4 linked regions of the Coturnix japonica genome follow. The protein of the gene in region 1 interacts with the protein of each later gene in a pairwise test. Links are inferred from orthologs where the notes say so. Each region holds a gene or a part of one and is shown on either strand. Other genes may lie near its edges.

Region 1 (4,204 bases):
CGGGTTCAGGGGAGGCATCGGGCAGCCACGGGACGTCGCTGGGGCGGTGGTGTCGGGGTGCCCGGGAGCGGTGCCAGCCCACGGACAAAGCGTCCCCTTGTCCCCGCGGGGTCACGCGGAGGCGGTGGGCACGGCGCTGCCACACGGAACACCCGGCACCACCCAGCCCCGCCGGGAAAGGGGAAGGGGCCCCCCGCCCGCAGACCCCGGGCCGCCACTCACCATGTTGCGGGCGTCGGGAGGCTGCGAGAGACGGGAGAGGGGTCGCGGTGAGCAGGGCGCAGCCCGCACCGTCGGCCCCACTGGTACCGCGCCGTGCCACCGTGCTCCCGGAGGGACACTGAGGCGTGCGGCCACACGGCCCCACCGGGAAGAGCCGTGCCCCGCAGTCACGCGTGGCCGCTGGCAGTGGGGCGGCCCCGTGCCCGGGCTTAGCGGCACAGAGCCCTATTGTCCCCGGCTTCCACCCGCCCGTCCCCGGCGCCGCTCGGTGCCGCCCCGCACGTCCCCCGGCTTAGCGCAACGGCTGCCCGCGATTTCACCGCCGGACACGCGCAGCACGGCGCACGCCAACACCCTCGGACACGCGTGGAGCGGGCGCCGCCTGCACCCACCGGCGGTCGCTGTCGCTTTCGGGCGGTCGTGGCGGCGGTGCCCGCGGAGCCGTGCCCGTTCTGCACCGGCGGCGGAGGCGCCTTCGGTGGCAGAAGGGCGTCCCCGGGGGAGGGCGCGGGGCGGGGCGGGGAAGGGGGGGAGAGAGGGAATGGGGGGTGTGCGGGGTGTGCGGGCACCAGGATTCAGGGGTGCGGGGTATCAGGTGTGGGGTGTGAGGGAACTATGGGGCGTGGAGACAAGGATGCGAGGGCATGAGAACATCTGGGGCGTATGGGGAAATGGAGATGGGGAACGAGGGAGCACGGGGAGAAGGATCTGTGGGGTTACGGGGATCCGGGGACACGGGGATTTGGGAATACGAGGCACGGGGACGTAGCGACGGGTAAATCGGAGGATACGGAGATAAGGGAAGATACGGGAAAAGGGGGATCTGAGAGTGGGGGACGTGGTGACAGAGCAACGTCGGGGTGGGGACGGGTAGATCGGAGGAGCCGGGGCACGGAGACACGGGATGTGAGCACACCGCGACGTGGGGCCGCACGGATCGGGGGACACGGGGAGGCGGGACACGAGCAGCGGGACACGCAGCCGGCAGCGGAGCGGGGACAGTTGCCGGGGTCGTTCGGGGACAGCGGCGCAGCTGACACCGCGGGGCTGAAATGTCACCGGTGTCACCGCGGGCAACGGGCCAGGCTGTGCCGGCACCGCGCGGCTCGTACTGCACGTGGGGGCGGCACGGCGGCACGAGGGGCACAAGTGAGGCGGGTGGAGCCGGTGGCAGCACCGTGTCTCTCGGCACACGTCCCCGCGGGGCTCCCCACGCGCCGCGAGGCTGACAACGGCAACAGCCGCCGGGCAACCGGCCGGCACGGGGAACGACACGGCGCCGCCTCGTGGGAGCGCGCAGCCCCCACGCGCCTCCGCGGCCTCCCATCCGCCATGGGGCGCTCTCGCCACCCGCCGCTCGCCCCGGCCGCTCTCTATGGCCGCGGGGCCGGGACCGGGGCGGGCCAGGGCGGGGGGGGGAAGCAGCGTCCGGCGGCCATGGCGGATACCGAGAAGCTCAACCTCGACTCCATCATCGGCCGCCTCCTGGAGGGTGAGCGATGGGCCTAGTGCTCCCGGACCGCCTCGGGAGCCGCTAGGGGAGGGAAGGACCGGCGCTGTGCCGCCAAGGAGGGGCTGGAGAACGGGGCTGCGGGCCGGGGCCTGCGGGGAAACGGGGGCCGTGCGAGGCTCTGGGGGTCCAACTGTGGGGCTGTGGGGCAGCGGGGGGTATCGGGGCAGCGGGGGGCCGGGGGGAGCCGGGCGGTGGGAGCCGCTGGGGGCTGTGGGAATGAGGGGGGCTGCGGGCGATCGGGGCGGATGGGGGGTGGCTGCAGAGGGCCGGGGGCACCGGGAGGGCCGTGCGTTAGTGCGGGACTGTTAGGGCACGGCGGCTCTGCGGGCTCCGGGGGTGGAGTGGGCTCTGCTGAAAGCCACCCCCGCACAGTGCAAGGCTCACGGCCTGGGAAGAACGTGCAGCTGACAGAGAACGAGATCCGGGGGCTGTGCCTGAAGTCACGGGAGATATTCCTGAGCCAGCCCATCCTGCTGGAGCTCGAGGCTCCGCTCAAGATCTGCGGTGAGCGACGAGCCGGGGGGAGGGGAAGGGGGCGGGCTGGGAGCCAGCGTCACCGCGTGTCCCCCGCGATCTTCTTACAGGCGACATCCATGGACAATACTATGACTTGCTTCGGCTCTTTGAATATGGAGGCTTTCCACCAGAGAGCAACTACCTATTCCTTGGTGACTATGTTGACAGAGGAAAGCAGTCTTTAGAAACAATTTGTCTTCTATTGGCCTACAAAATTAAATACCCGGAGAACTTTTTCCTGCTGCGTGGCAACCACGAATGTGCCAGCATCAACCGCATCTACGGCTTCTATGATGAGTGTGAGTGCTGCACCGGCCCCACTACTGACAAACGGGACTGCCTTGTCACCTCACTGCCAACCCCATATGATACAGCCAGCCCAAAGTCCCCCCTTCCATCCCCATTTGCAGCTCTTCCCATCTCCTGCAGACCTTATGTTCATCCCAGCTACTTTCTCCTGCAGACCTTATGCCCCCATCCCAGCCATCTCCTCCTGCAGACCTTATGCCCCATCCCAGCTACCTCCTCCTGCAGACCTCATACCCCCATCCCAGCCACCTCCACGGCCACCCCCCCAGCCCCCTGGAGGGTTCAGTGCTGCCCTGTGTGTGTTGTGATACACCAGAGGGTGGGGAGGGTGGAACATGGCCCACATGAAGGGCTCCTGTGAGCACCCACCCCGCTGCCTCACAGGCAAGCGGCGATACAACATCAAGCTGTGGAAAACCTTCACCGATTGTTTTAACTGTTTACCAATTGCAGCAATTGTGGATGAGAAGATATTCTGCTGTCACGGAGGTGGGCACAGGGCTGGGGGCTGCCGCCTGGGTCCAAAGGCCGCCACACAGCATAACCTGACACTCCTGTGCAGGGCTGTCTCCTGACTTGCAGTCGATGGAACAGATCCGGCGCATCATGCGACCCACGGACGTACCCGACCAGGGCCTGCTGTGTGATCTCCTGTGGTCTGACCCTGACAAAGATGTCTTAGGATGGGGTGAAAATGACAGAGGAGTGTCCTTCACCTTTGGGGCCGAGGTGGTGGCCAAGTTCCTGCACAAGCATGACCTCGATCTCATCTGCAGGGCACACCAGGTAATGGGGTCGGGCCTCACCTGGGCTCCATAACGGTGGAGCTTTTCCCAGGAGGGGCCATTTGCTCTTGAGGATGTGGTTGGGCTCTTTTGAAGGGGATGCTGCCCCCTGGGGGAGTTGGTGGGCTCTATGGACAGAGAACAGGGAGATATGAGTGCTGCTGCCCCACAGGTGGTGGAGGACGGCTACGAGTTCTTTGCCAAACGCCAGCTTGTCACCCTCTTCTCTGCACCCAACTACTGCGGGGAGTTTGACAACGCAGGAGCCATGATGAGTGTGGACGAGACCCTCATGTGCTCCTTCCAAGTGAGCTGGGGCTTTGCCGGGGAGGGGGCAGCACACAGGGCTCTGCCTGCAGCCCCTTCACTCACCCTTCACTTCCTTGCAGATTCTGAAACCAGCAGACAAGAACAAGGGCAAGTACGGGCAGTTCAGTGGGCTGAACCCTGCTGGCCGCCCCGTCACCCCACCACGCAACTCTGCCAAAGCCAAGAAGTGAGTGTCCACCGCCAGCAGCCCCAGCACCAGGTCGCTCCTTTCTCCATTCGTTTTTTTATTTGTCAGATCCTGCCCTTGCCGCTTTCTACTGTACCAAATGTACCCTCTGGGGCAGGACCCGCCCCTCAGTTGGCAGTGAAGGCAGGGCAGGAGGCTTTTTTTGGGGAATAAACTTGTAATGGGTCTTAAGATGTGGCTTTAGGATCACACCCTACGTGGCCAGGCAGTGCCAGCTGCTGCGCCATGGCATCGCAATGGGGGCTCTCAGCATTCGGCATCGCTGTCCTCTGCCAGCACCTCCTGGCTGGGGGCTGGGCCAGGCCCCCCCGGTGTCAGCACGGAGCCAAAAAACAACGAGCG
Region 2 (4,206 bases), on another chromosome or scaffold:
AGGCAGGACCCACCCGTGTGGCACCCCTAGGGACAAGCTGGACACCTGCCCCCCATCTGCACAGGGTACCCAGAGGGGTCCAGGCATGGCCCAGCTTGTCCCACTGTGCCCCTCAGTGCTGTCCCCAAGTCTTTGGGGTGTTGGAGACTTGCAGGGGACCCAGAGCAGCTCCCAAAGGAGACACAGCAGGAGGGAGCAGATTTGTCCAGGGAGGGGGCTGGCAGCAGGGACCCCCATCCCTGGGCACAGCAGGGTGCTCTCTATGGGTTCTCTCTATGGGTGCTCTCTATGGGTGCTGGGGTGTCCCTATGTGCCCATTCTGGGGGCTCACGATGCTGACATGCACTGTGACAGGGGGTCCCCCCCAACAGAGGGGCAGAGCAGGGGACAAACATCAGGGGAGCAGAGCATCCCTCCAAGCACATCCACAGCTCCACGAAGGGGGGGGGGGTTCCTTCTCAGGGCTGGCATGGCTGATCCATGCAGTGTAGAACCCCCAGCAGTGTATGGCCACCATGGGACCCCATCCCCACGCGGTGCCACCGCGGTGCCCGTGTCCCATCCCAGGTGGGGCCACCCACCCGCCGCTGACTCAGAGCCAGAATATAGGCCGTGCTGCTATAAATAACCCAGCGAGGCACAAAGCAATTTCTGTTCCTCCAGCCGGGGGGATACGAGCATCAGAGAAAGCCCTGAATTAACGGCATGGCCTCATCGCCCTCCGTGCCATGGCTGGCAATGGGTGGGGGGACCCCAAATCCCACAGCTGTCCCCATATGGGGACAAGGAGGGGGATGAGCAGCTCCTGCTGCTGCCATGAGGCACTTCCCCTTCCTCCACTTCCTGAAATGGTCCCCATGCTGAGCACAGCGGGGTGGGCATCAACCTTCCCTGCTCCGGAGGGAGTCCCAGCACTGACAGCACATGGGGACCAGGGCTGGGCTGGTGGAACCTGGCAGCAAATGAGGCCTGGATGAATATTATGGGCTTCCACCCCCAAAACGTGTGGTTTTGGGGCACTGGGTTGGCAGTGTGTGCCATCCCCATCCTCCACGTGTCACCAACACAACAGCTCACAGCCCCAAGGTCTCCACCCCATACCGTGTCCCTTTCCCCTCCCCACGTGGCCATGTGTCCCCAGCAGTGGGTGCTCACTATTGGGGTACAATGGCACATTGCAGACGCTCTGCCCTTCTCCACTCTGTGCCATCAGCGCTGCATGGAGGCTGCCCAAGCTTGGGCCATGGCCAATGGGGCAGGAGGTTGCCCACCTCTATGTCTTCCAACCCCATCGCTGGATGATTGAGGACCCCCAAACCTCCCCTCTTCTCCCTTCTTTGGGCCCCCCAAAGCACCCCGGCGGGACTCACCTGGATGGGCGCCGTGCTGAACTGGATCTTGCGGTTGGGGACGGGCTCCTCTTCCTCGGACAGCCCAGGGATCTCCATGCAGCTGGATTCAGGCTCATACAGCCCATCCGCCTCCTCATCCTCATCCAACCCGCTGCCCCCCGAGTCCTCCCCGAGCCCACTGTAGGCACTTATGTCCACCAGGTCCGCCTCGGAGAAGTCCTCCTTCTTGGACTCATCATACAGCTCGCTCTCCTCCACCCTCTCACCCTTTCCTCCCTCCTTGGTGTCGGGGGGCTCCTCGCCCCCATCCAGGCACGGTTCGGGGGCCACCAGCCCTTCGGCCCCTTTGGCCACTTCACTTACAGCCGTGGGCTCCTTCACCTCCACCTCCGCCTCCGACTCTCCACTCTCCTCCACCTCCACGGGTTTGATCTTGCAGACCTCCTGCACCCGCGGGACGCTCCCATCCTTCTCCCCCGACCTCGGGGCTTTGCCCATCACTTTCTCCTCCTCTGCAGGTCGTGGCCGTGTGGTCCCAGCGCTTCCTTCTGCACCGCCATCAGCTTTGCCACCATCTCCTTGCAAGAAGACGCGGGACCTTTTGCTCACCAGCTTGGAGTTGAGCGGCCCCGTGCGCCCCGGGGTCTTATGCAGGTTGTTCCTCAGGTCAGCCTTCTCAAACACAGCGCTCAGCTGGCTGACAGTGGGCGACACGGCCTCGGTGTCCAGCTTATCCAAAGACTCAGTGCTGCCATTGAACTTCACCACCACGTCCAGCTTACGGTCCTGGAAGCCGGCGCGTTCTTTGCGCAGCAGCAGTTTGGTGGTGGTCTCCTTCTCCTGCGGGCTCCTCTCGAAGATCTTCCTTGTCTCCTGCAGCTTGGAGAAGGGTTTGTCGGGCTTGGAGTCGAAGCGACTCACCCTCTCGGACACGCTGGTGCCCAGCTTTAGGGTGCTGCCCTGCTCCATGCCATCGCTCAGGCTGCCGGTGCGGGGCAGGGACAGTCGGACCGGCTTCTCCTTGCCCTTGGCCAAGTCGCACGCTCCCTCGGGGCCCGGCGCCGTCCCCATCTGCAGGAACATGTTCTTGATGCGATGGACGTTGGAGCCATACTTCTTGCTGCGGGCTTTCTTGCCGTCCTCACCCTCGGCATCCTTTGTGGGTTTCAGGGCCTGGATGGTCGCCTCGTACGCGTTGCGGTGCGGGGATGCGCTCCTCAACCCCCCGCTGCCCGCCCCGCCGCCCGGGGTCCCCCCGCTGCCCCCCGGGGCTGCGGCCCCGCTCGCTGCCTCCGTCCTCAGCATCCTGCCCCGAAACCTCCGTCACCGCCGAGCCGCATCGCCCGCCGCCCGCTGGGCACGGGGAGGGGGCCGTGCTGGGGGGCTGCGGGGACCCGGTCAGGCCATCGTCAGCCTGGGGGGGCCCAGCGCGCCCCCCCCCCCCTATCCTCCACCCCGGCCCTCCTTCCTTCCTTCCTCCTTTCTCCTCCTCCTCTTCCCCTTTCTCTCTCTGCGCTGCTGATGAGCGCTGCCGCCCGCGATCCGCCCGCCCCGCTGCCCGCAGAGCCCTCTGGGTCTTAGCGACGCTCTCTTGCTCTTCCTCTTCCTCACCGCTAAAGCTTCGGGCTCTGCTGGATGATGCCCCCCCCAGCTCTATGTGTGTCCCCCCACCCACCCACAGAACGCTGCTGCCACCGCCGCCCCCTCCCCTCAGCCCCCCTCCATCCCCTGCACATGGTTGGGGCCGCGTTTCCCCCCCTTCCCTGGCACTGTGCATTGTCCCTACAGCCCAGCTCTGTCCCCATATCTATCCCCCCTCCCCATAGCCCCCCCCACCCCGGGTTTGCTCCCCCTCTGTCCCCTATGACAGCCCTTGGGACCCCCAGCCCTGCCCCTCTGCATCCTCACTTCCATCCCACAGCCCCACGATGGTCCCTGGGTCCCCCCACTTCTGGCCAGTTGCCCCCCACCTTTATACACCCCCGTATCCCCATGACCACCCCCCCCCCATCCCTTAGTCCTCCAGTGTTTGTTCCCTGTGCCCCATCCATATCCTCCCTGTGTATAACCCATATCCCCCATTCTTACCCCCATGCCCCCCTCCCGTCCCTGTGTCCCCATGTCCCCCCTCTCCACCTTTTAGCCTCTGCCCGCCCCCCCCCATATTTGCCCACACATTCCTTGCTCTGATCCCTTTGATCCCCCACGTAGCCAGAACTCCCCCAGCCCCTGTTTCTATGATGCCCCCATAGGATCCCCATTGACTTTCTGTCCCCATCAACCCACCCCTCTCCCCTCCCCACTGCCAACCCACCCACCCACACCTTGACCAGGAGGTCAACCTGGAGGGGGGGGGGGGTATATTTTAGGGGTGTTATTGGGGTCCCACTCCCCTCCCAGAGCATACAGACCCCACAGGGACCAGAGCACACAGCACAGCACCACTTTAGGGCTCTTCAATGACCAAAACAACCACACATTATACACCCTGGTTTCCAATATGGGGGCACCATCCCTTCCTCCCCCCCCTCCCCATCAACCACAGCCCCCCACACAGTGCAGATACGGGCAGCAGGACCCAGCAGCGGCTGCAGCACCCGACAGCCCTTTGTGCGTGACGTGGCGTGACGCAGAGCAGAGCGACAGCCCCCCCTGCCCCCCCTTCCCCTTCCGCTGCAGGGCCTGCTCACCCCCCCCAGCCCTACTGCATAACCCCCCCCCCCTCCAGTCCCACTCAATACCAGGGGGGCTTTGGACCCCCACCCCATGCATGAATGCATAGATATACTCCCCATCCCCCCCCCCCATGCACACGCGTGTGCAATGCACCATTTCTGGCCTGTCAGCTGTCCCC
Region 3 (4,200 bases), on another chromosome or scaffold:
GGAGGTGGAGCAAGCATGGAGTTCACTTACCTCCGGGCAGACCCGCACTTGAATTCTCTTCCATTTCTTTTCTCCCCTGGATCCAAGCACTGTTTTGCTTCACTTTCTCCTTTGCTTGTACAGGGACTTGTCTCCCCCCTGGTGGGGCAGCTGACCAAGTCCTACCCCTGGCAGGGCCACCATCCCGCCTTGGCCTCAGGAACTGCAGCCGAATGCTGGTAGACCTGATAAGTGCAAAGAGCCGCAGTGATTCATGGTGGAAGGGGAAGCTCCTCCCTCCCCTCAAAGTTAGTTTCGTTGCGGGGAAATGAGTGCATGTCACCGTTACGGTATGCCACGAACTCACAGCGCGCAATGCCTGCCAGCCAACCAGTGACAGGCACTGTGGAAAACTCATTAGGAACTTTCCCCGCAGGAGATGAGTTCACGCAGACCAAAGATCTCAGCTCCCAGCTGGAGGGGCACCTTTACCCCCTGGGCTGCCACTGTAGCTCAGATTTCTTACTAAGTGCAAGAATTTAGAGTGCATGGGTGTACATCCTGTGGCTCTCCCAGCCTGGCTCCTGTCCCTCCCTTCCCTGTGCTGTTCTGCTTGCAGAACAAGGAAGCACAAAGATGACGTGCCCTCAGACACTTACCAGGCAGGGCTGGGGCTGGTCAGGGATCCAACTAGAAGCAGCGAGGCAGCCAGCAATGGCCCTGGGGCTCAGCCTTGCCCTGGGGCTGGATGGAGAGTCCTTTCCCTCAATACACTCTGAATCCTCTGCTGTGGGTGCAAAGGTGAACCCTGCCCTTCCTCAGGCGCCCAGGCAGGATGCTGGGAGCTGTAGTTTTCCTCCTTCCTCTCCAACACGGCCGCCTCTTCCTTGACAAGCAGCATTTCGTCAGCAGGGCTGTTTGCTGGAGCGTTCCTTATTATCCTTCGGGGCTGTATCTGTGTTGTAGGTTTAGATATGTTTGGGCAATGCTTTTCAATATGGCAATGCTCCTTGTTGTGCTTACAAACAGTAGATACACTCCATCTTTTCTCCCCTCCCATCCCAGGACCTAATGCATAGGAACCAGTGACATGGGAACCTCACACCAAGGGAAAGTATCAGCACAAGGGCACCAGATCAGGATACAACCTGCATACAAAGAGCCTCAATACAGCCCAGCACCAAAACAAAGCGTTTTTAATGCTGCGTATAGGAAACCTTCAGTCCTTATTGGCAATGGAGGCAGAGTGTCAGAAGGGATCAGACCCATTTCAGGTCCATAAACAGCCAGTGCAGAACTTGGCAGGGATGTATCAGCAATGGAAGGTGCATTTGACCTGTTTATAGCGATAGGTAAGACACAACACGGCAGACATATTGTACCACCCCCCTCCTTCCACCCCTCCCCACCGCTTCCGCGTCACACGGCTCGCGGCCGGAACTAAAGGCGACTCGGGAAGTGAGGTTGGCGGAGCCGCCCCTTGCGGAAAGGCGGCAGCTTCGGTGCGGAGCGGAGCGGGATAGCGGCCGGGATGGTGGGGGACGGCGAGGAGCAGGGCCCGCCGCACGGCCCGGAGCTGAAGCACAGGAGGAAGAGCCCCCGGTTCGCGGCCGAGTCCGAGCCCGACTCCGGTGTGGTGCCGGAAGGTGAGCGGGGCGGGCGGGCGGAATGGGGAAGCGGGCGGGGAGCTGATGGGGGATGTGTGCGGAGCAATGAAAGAGCGGAATCTCGTTGCAGGAGGAGAGAGGGTATTCGGCACCCCGGGCAGCCTGACACGGCCCCCCATCCGCGCCTACAGGGCGGCAGGTGAGTCCCGGTCGCCTGCTGAGCTGGAGCATCCATCCGGCTGTACGGGTGGGACGGTGCGATGTACGGCTGTTGTTTGCGGCCTTAACGATGGCTTTGTCTTTTCAGACTGGTTTCTTTTCTATGAGCACCCCTTCAGTGCTTTATACGGCTGGTCAGCCGGCCCTGACCTTTGCTTTGTGACCTCTGTCACCTTGCTGGACTTTATGCTTTCTGTTGGCAGTGCTAAGTTGGGTTTTGGCCTCTGCTTGGCTGCAGGGTTGGACAAACACTGTTGGTGTGGGTTCATGTCTTCCCAGCTGCCTGAGGGGTTCAGTGAGGGACATGGTGCCCCACAGAGAAGCAGTGCATCTTGCTCTGAGGTGTTTTTAAGCTCTTAAAAGAATCAGTCTATGTGGCAGCACATACAGCTGTTGGCAGTGGATTCCAATCTGCTGTAAGCTTCTCAATTCTTAATTGCTTTTGGGTGTCAAAAGTAACTCTTGGGAGATCACAACTAGGAAGACACAGATTATATGTTTTAAAACTGCACCTTGTCTGTTGGTTTAATGATGAACACTCATTGTACTGCAATTATGTCTGCCTCTTTTATCTCTTTTTCTAGGTAAGTCAGGTGGTTCTTCGGCTTCCTTCCTTCCAGAGAGCCCAGCAAAGGAAGAAGTGGATGACTATGATGTAACTGAACCCAAGAATCCATCAGAGGACCAGCCTAATGTTTATACACCACTGAAAGGTAACTGTACTTAAATGATACCAAAGGAGGAGCTGAGCTGGAACCTAGATGGATGAAGACGTTTAATATATTGTTCTGGGGGGAGCTGGTATCTAACTGCTTGAAGAATAAGGGGGTGGCTTGCATTCATCCAGTCAGTAATTGCTTAATCACACAGTGCAATTCATTGCCTGTAAGAGAACACTGACAAAATCTAGGCACGAGCCAGGTGCCAGGCCCTTCTGGGAGATGTGGCAGTTTTCTTCCTTAATGGACAGATTTGAGAGGCTATCACAGGTCTGGTATGGCAAGACACTGTACTCTTTCCCTGATAACCTCTAAAGAATTCATAGCAAGACCTAAACGCGTGTTGGGAATGGCTTACTATTATACACTCTGATGTGATCACAGCTTTATTTCTCATTTTTGCTTTGGTTTCAGAAAGTAAGGCTGACTTCTTGGAGAAAACTCAAGAGCACCATTCTACAAAACCACAGAGTAAGTGGAGAAATAGATACCAATAGATACCAAGCCCTTCCCTGTAACTATGAGAACGCTACAGAATTGCTTTCCTCTGCTTCACTTTTGGTTTGTGTTTGTGGTTGTGTATGTGTTGGTTGATGTTTGTTGGTGTTTTCCTCTTGACAGGGTCTGCTGTGCCCTGTTGAGGGTGTCAGAGAGTTGCAGAACAGAGTTGCTCATTTAACCATTCTCTGGCTTAAACCAGAACTGCTTTTAGCATCTACTGTCATTAGGTTCATAGTATGTCATTAGGCTGCTGTGCTTATTTTGGTGCTCTTGAAGTAACTACTGCAGGGCGTGTTTGTTCAGTTTATTCATAATAGTGTCATTGACAGTATCCTGATTTGGTCCTGTGTTATTAAAGAGCCTTCAGCTTTGAAACCAGTTGCTGTAGTTTTCAAGGAGCCAGAAATTCACACGTTGTCTTAATTAACAGACAGAATGAAGAAAACATGCTGATCAATAATTGCACTGTGTATATATTCATACAGGTATCTTGGAAAGTTGCTCATAATGCTCTTTGATGGATAACATCTCTAGAATTTTGCTGTCTGAACCCATTTAAATAAATACACCAAGAGTGTATTTTATTACAGCCTTTCTATAAGCCCTTTCCCCACTGGATAATTGCTGCCTTATATATTTTTCTCATGTTCCTTTCTTAATCTCGACAGGCAGAAGTAAATTCCGAGATAAGCCCAGCACGGGGAAGCAGTCACAGCCCTTGGCCAAAAGTAAGACTTCTGCTTCCACTTCTATTCCATATGTGTTATTTTAACCATTCTCTGGCTTGCTCAAACTGGGCATCCTTACAATTAAAATCGAGGTGGACATAGTGGTATAGCTCTTTGTTGCCACAGAACTCAGTCTGTTTTATTATGGGTTTTACTGGGGATGGAATCAAGCCTCATGCTTGTAGTAGGTCAAACACGTGTTAGTTTAGCTGTTCTAATTCAGAATGAAAACAAAGTTTCTGATGCTCACTGTGCTCCTGTGCACTGTTTGCCATTCTCCAGTAGTATGGAGCACCTGTGTTTGATATGAATAATGCATGTTAATATTTAAGAGGAAACAGCAACAGAAATTGTTCTGGTACTGCCAGGTTTTCTATCAGACTCTCTACAGAAACTAAATGGAGGAACTAACTTGACCTCTTTAAGCGCCATTTTAAGCTGAGTTTG
Region 4 (4,137 bases), on another chromosome or scaffold:
TGGCAGTGCTAACAGCGCATAATCAAGAGACATGAGACTGTGCTGTGTAATACATCCCATCTTGTGTACAGGAAGAGTTTTGTTTTATTTAAGTAAATATATTTTCTGTATGAGTACCTCTTGCATTCCTTGGCAGCGGGTTGCTCATCCCTTTAGTCTCCCAGAGTTGCTACAAACGTTAAGCTGCAGACAGGGGAATGGTAACAGGCTGTGGAGATCAGGTGCTGTGTGGCTGTTTGGGATGCTCACGGGGTGTTTGGAGATAGGCAGTACTTGTGACTAGGGCAGAACAAGGAATTGAAGGGCTGGTTATAACCATTCTTATTCTGCCGGTGACTAATTCACAGCTCACCTTACGTGTCCCGTCATTACAGCATAGTGCTCTGACGAGTCCTTTAATGACACGGTGCCGTAACTCCCCAGATAGTATCACAACATGTTGTTATCAGTAAGTTACATCAAAGGCTTAGCATTCAATTAGGACAGGGCGGGCTCTGAAATGAGGCAGTCTGCCGTGTTTAGAGTGCACTGAATTGTTCTGGCTGTTGAAATGAGAACACCCCTGCATTGCAAACCTGCTGACAGGCTGCAAACGAAGCTTTAAGCTTCAGGTCTGCAGCTGCTGTGAACCTCGGGGTGATTTTCTTGTGGAATTCGCATGAAGTCAGTGTCAGATCTCAGAAGTGTCTGAGCTGAGCTGTGCCCACAGCACACGGCGCTATTTGCACTGCGGTATGAGCTGTTTGTACCTCAACAGCAGCGATGCGCAGTGCCCGGCTTGGCGCCTGCTCTGGAAGGTGACGGGCCGCAGCAAGGCGTGCTGCTCAGCTGCTGTCACAAAGTACCTCGAGCATTAGCAGGAGCAGAATAAACAACGGAACATTGTCTCCCACCTTATTATCCAGTTAAAATATTTCTGGTGGAAGAAAAGCTGATTCAGACACGTCAGATGTGAGCCGTTGGTAGCGCAGTTACCCCAGGCCGCACAGCCCGACCCGCTGTCCCGTCGGTCCCGCGCGCGGGTTCAGGCGGGCTCCTCCCGTAGCCCCGCCCCCATGCCCACGGTGCCGGCTGATTGGTTCCGAGCTCCTTCACTCCAGGGGAAGCCCCGCCCCCTCCGCGCGGGTCGTGTGTGCTGATTGGCAGACGCGCCGCTCCGTTCTCGCGCCGCAGCCTGCGCTGGGCCCAGCTCGCCCCGTGCGGTGCGATTGGCGGATCTGGCCGTCAATCTCGGATCCGCCCGGTCCCGACCGGCGGTCCCGCCCCCCGAACACGGGACGCGTTTCGATTGGCGCAGCGGGCTGTCGGTCAGCAGAGCGCCCGCCCCTCTCGGTCAGGTAGCCCGGAAGATGGCGGCGGCGGCGGCGGCGGCCGGAGGGGCCGTGTGAGCGGAGCGGGGACGCCTATGCCGCGTGGGCCGCGCCGCGCAGGCGGGGAGCAGCGGCTGCAGCAGGAGCTCCGCGGAGACGCTGAGAGCCTCGAGCCCCTCATTGGGCGCCGAGCCGCGGCCCGGCGGCGGAGGACATGAGGCGGCGCGGGGGGCTCGTCCCGGCGGGCGGGCGGCGGGGGGGCGGCCCGGCCGGGCTGGCCGTGCTGCTGTCGCTGCTCCTGGGGAGCGGCCGGGCGGCTCCGCTTCCGCTGGCGGCAGCAGGTGAGACACGGGGGGCGGCGCGGGGGCTGCGGGGCGCGGCTGAGGCAGCGCTGTCCTGCCCCGCTACGAGCGGACGCGGCTCCCGAGACCCCGCGTTGCGCTCGTGCCGCGCTGCGACCTGTTGTGCAGCGGCCGCCCGTGTGAGCCGCGCTGATCGCGCCGTGCTTCCCCCGCTCCGATCGATGCGGTGCTCCCGCCGGGGCCGCGGCTCCTGGGGGCGGGCGGCGCTTCCCTCGACGGGAATGCGGTCCCGGCTGCTCGGCCCCGCGTTAGGTAACCGGGCGGCCTTCGAGCCCTTGTCTTCCTGTTTATCTCAAGGCACGCACGGGCGGTGCGTTCTCCCATTCTCACGAATCACTGCGGGGAGGTTTATTTGCTCTGATAGGTAGCAGTCGCCTCAATCATTCACTCATTTTTTTGTGCTTTATTGATACTTCTGAACGTAAAATTGAATTGGGACTGAATTCCGTTGGGCTCGACACAGATATGCGCTGGGGTTGAGTTGTGTCGGTGTAGCTTGGAGCAGCTGGACGGGGCAGGGCAGCAGTGCGAGGGGAGCTGTGAAGCTCAGCGCTTTGGTTGCTGTTCCACAGAAAGTATCAGGGCTGGATGTGGATCCCACCCTTGTTTTGGTTTTGGACCTACATTCTTGCCATTTGTTTCCTTCCCAAGGCAATTTCCATTGTTGATGAGTTATTCCTTCTGTCCGCCTGCCTCGAGGCTGCTCCTTCTAAAAGAAAGTTCTGGGAGAAATGAAGGCCCTGAGGAGCCCTGGGTCACACTTGTATTTTCTTGGAGGCTAAATTCTAGCTTTCTCATTTATGAAATATGTGAGAAATTTCCCAATGATGCTGCCTTGTTGTCAGGCCATGAGGGAGGGCACAGCAGTTCTGGGCAGCAGGCTTTTCCTTCTTGGTGTCTGTTCTTGTCCTGAAGTGTTGTTGGTTTTTCTGTTTGAAGGCAGTGTCAGTGCAGGCACTGAGTGTTCTCAGAGTAACCCATGAAATGAGAATTGCTCTGCTATCAAGACTGCACCACGTATCCTCCAAAGCTCAGAGATGAGGATGTAGCTTCTCTGATGCTGTCACAGACCTGTTGCAGTGGGAAGTCACACTAAGCAAATCGCACTTTTGAAGCAGCCTCTGCTATATTGTCACTTTTTCCCTCCTGTGTCCCATGGAAGTCGCTTTGATTTCCTGTGTTGGGACTGGCAGTCGTTGATGACTTTCAGAATAAATAACAGACCCCGCTCTGAACCTTTGCAGCCCTCTCAGCTCACCAACACACACAACCTCCTGCTTAAGAGTTGTAACGTTAGGAATAATTTCATGGACATTTCATAAACTAGTGATGGGTTTTGGAGTTAATTCATGATCCCCCAGTTGGGCACCTACCAGGATGGGCTGCTTCTCTGATGGTGGAGAAGTATTTTGATGTGCCCAGCCTCGAGTGCTGTGCTGGAAAGATGGTGCTCAGCAGAAAAAGGAGGAAAGGAGATGTTGTGGGAGGTGTTTGTAGTGACCACTGTGGAACAGCTCCTGGAATGTGCCCATGATGAAGAGATTTCTCTTTTGGAGGCAGTTGGGGAGCAGGAAGTGGCAATGGATGGCAGATTCTGGCAAGGCTGGCTTGGATTCCTTGTTCAGAAACGTTCCGTTTTGTGGATCTACTGTGGAATTGCAGCAGTTGGTGTCTGGGGAATCGTCGTGTTCCAAGTGTCTTCATCATGATGCAGCTTGTACTTTTAGGTACGTCTTCACGGTGTTTGCAGATGAAGGTGTGCCCTGATGGCGTGTTCTATATTTGTCTCCCATGTTTGAGGCTGCATTTATGAAGTTGCTAGGAAAAAAATAAAAAGGAAATGGTAGAGGAAGGTTTTTGTCGTTGCCCTGATATGGTTCATAGCAATTACTGTAGAAAATAGGAAAAACAAGATGTTGAAGATGCTACTAGCTAGAAACAGACTGACTTAATTTGTTCAGTCAGTGGGAAAGGGAAGGTACTGGGATGTGCTGTGACTGTTGTGAGTACCAGAGTTCACCTGCTGGAGCTGCAGACAGGTCTAACTGAGACCTGCCTCTGTGGGGCCGCTCGGCCTGACCTGCTCCAGCTTGGAGCAGCTGGTAGAATGAAGTATTCAGCTGTTCTGAGCCTGTGGAGCATTAGGTGCTCTACCTGAGTGCATCAGGCCAAGATGATCGTCCTTTATAGCATAGTGTAGCTGATGTATTTCTATGTGAGAAATGCTCTTTAGCAGTAATTTTTGTGGACAAACATACTGCATCATAATCTGACACTTCTGCTTTGCTGTGCTAAAGCTTTACATTCTAATTCAGACTCTCTCTCTCATTTTGACTTGGATTTTCATACTTGACCTTAATTCAGCTGCCTCTCCAGAAAGCTGGGAATCAGAATCAAGGGTATGTGTTAGCATCAGAGGAAGCACTGCTGTCATCTCTGCTGTATGAAGTCCTTGCAAATGCAAA

What was found. The genes of interacting proteins can lie anywhere in the genome.
Region 2: the proteins of PPP1CA (region 1) and PPP1R9B interact in binary tests that used the Homo sapiens proteins (3 or more experiments, as listed by UniProt). The link is inferred for Coturnix japonica from reciprocal best matches to the Homo sapiens genes PPP1CA and PPP1R9B.
Region 3: the proteins of PPP1CA (region 1) and torsin-1A-interacting protein 1-like interact in a two-hybrid assay, tested with the Homo sapiens proteins (2 studies listed by BioGRID and IntAct). The link is inferred for Coturnix japonica from reciprocal best matches to the Homo sapiens genes PPP1CA and TOR1AIP1.
Region 4: the proteins of PPP1CA (region 1) and LMTK2 interact in a two-hybrid assay, tested with the Homo sapiens proteins (2 studies listed by BioGRID and IntAct, with this or other methods). The link is inferred for Coturnix japonica from reciprocal best matches to the Homo sapiens genes PPP1CA and LMTK2.

What each region holds. Positions count from the first base shown.
Region 1 is NC_029520.1:170,044-174,247, reverse strand, and holds PPP1CA (serine/threonine-protein phosphatase PP1-alpha catalytic subunit), read left to right. Parts: upstream 1-1,404; 5' UTR 1,405-1,554; coding exon 1,555-1,714; intron 1,715-2,107; coding exon 2,108-2,239; intron 2,240-2,319; coding exon 2,320-2,550; intron 2,551-2,944; coding exon 2,945-3,049; intron 3,050-3,122; coding exon 3,123-3,346; intron 3,347-3,517; coding exon 3,518-3,652; intron 3,653-3,734; coding exon 3,735-3,845; 3' UTR 3,846-4,033; downstream 4,034-4,204. Other genes in the region: CARNS1 (carnosine synthase 1), read right to left, coding at 223-225; cell cycle checkpoint control protein RAD9A, read right to left, coding at 4,109-4,204. UniProt on the Homo sapiens protein: Protein phosphatase that associates with over 200 regulatory proteins to form highly specific holoenzymes which dephosphorylate hundreds of biological targets.
Region 2 is NC_029542.1:2,575,945-2,580,150, reverse strand, and holds the start of PPP1R9B (neurabin-2), read right to left. Parts: upstream 2,801-4,206; 5' UTR 2,658-2,800; coding exon 1,371-2,657; intron 1-1,370. UniProt on the Homo sapiens protein: Seems to act as a scaffold protein in multiple signaling pathways. Modulates excitatory synaptic transmission and dendritic spine morphology. Binds to actin filaments (F-actin) and shows cross-linking activity. Binds along the sides of the F-actin.
Region 3 is NC_029523.1:5,654,550-5,658,749, forward strand, and holds the start of torsin-1A-interacting protein 1-like, read left to right. Parts: upstream 1-1,400; 5' UTR 1,401-1,510; coding exon 1,511-1,625; intron 1,626-1,716; coding exon 1,717-1,785; intron 1,786-2,389; coding exon 2,390-2,518; intron 2,519-2,938; coding exon 2,939-2,995; intron 2,996-3,693; coding exon 3,694-3,753; intron 3,754-4,200. Other genes in the region: torsin-1A-interacting protein 2-like, read right to left, coding at 31-64. UniProt on the Homo sapiens protein: Required for nuclear membrane integrity. Induces TOR1A and TOR1B ATPase activity and is required for their location on the nuclear membrane. Binds to A- and B-type lamins. Possible role in membrane attachment and assembly of the nuclear lamina.
Region 4 is NC_029529.1:1,153,225-1,157,361, forward strand, and holds the start of LMTK2 (serine/threonine-protein kinase LMTK2), read left to right. Parts: upstream 1-1,337; 5' UTR 1,338-1,524; coding exon 1,525-1,651; intron 1,652-4,137. UniProt on the Homo sapiens protein: Phosphorylates PPP1C, phosphorylase b and CFTR.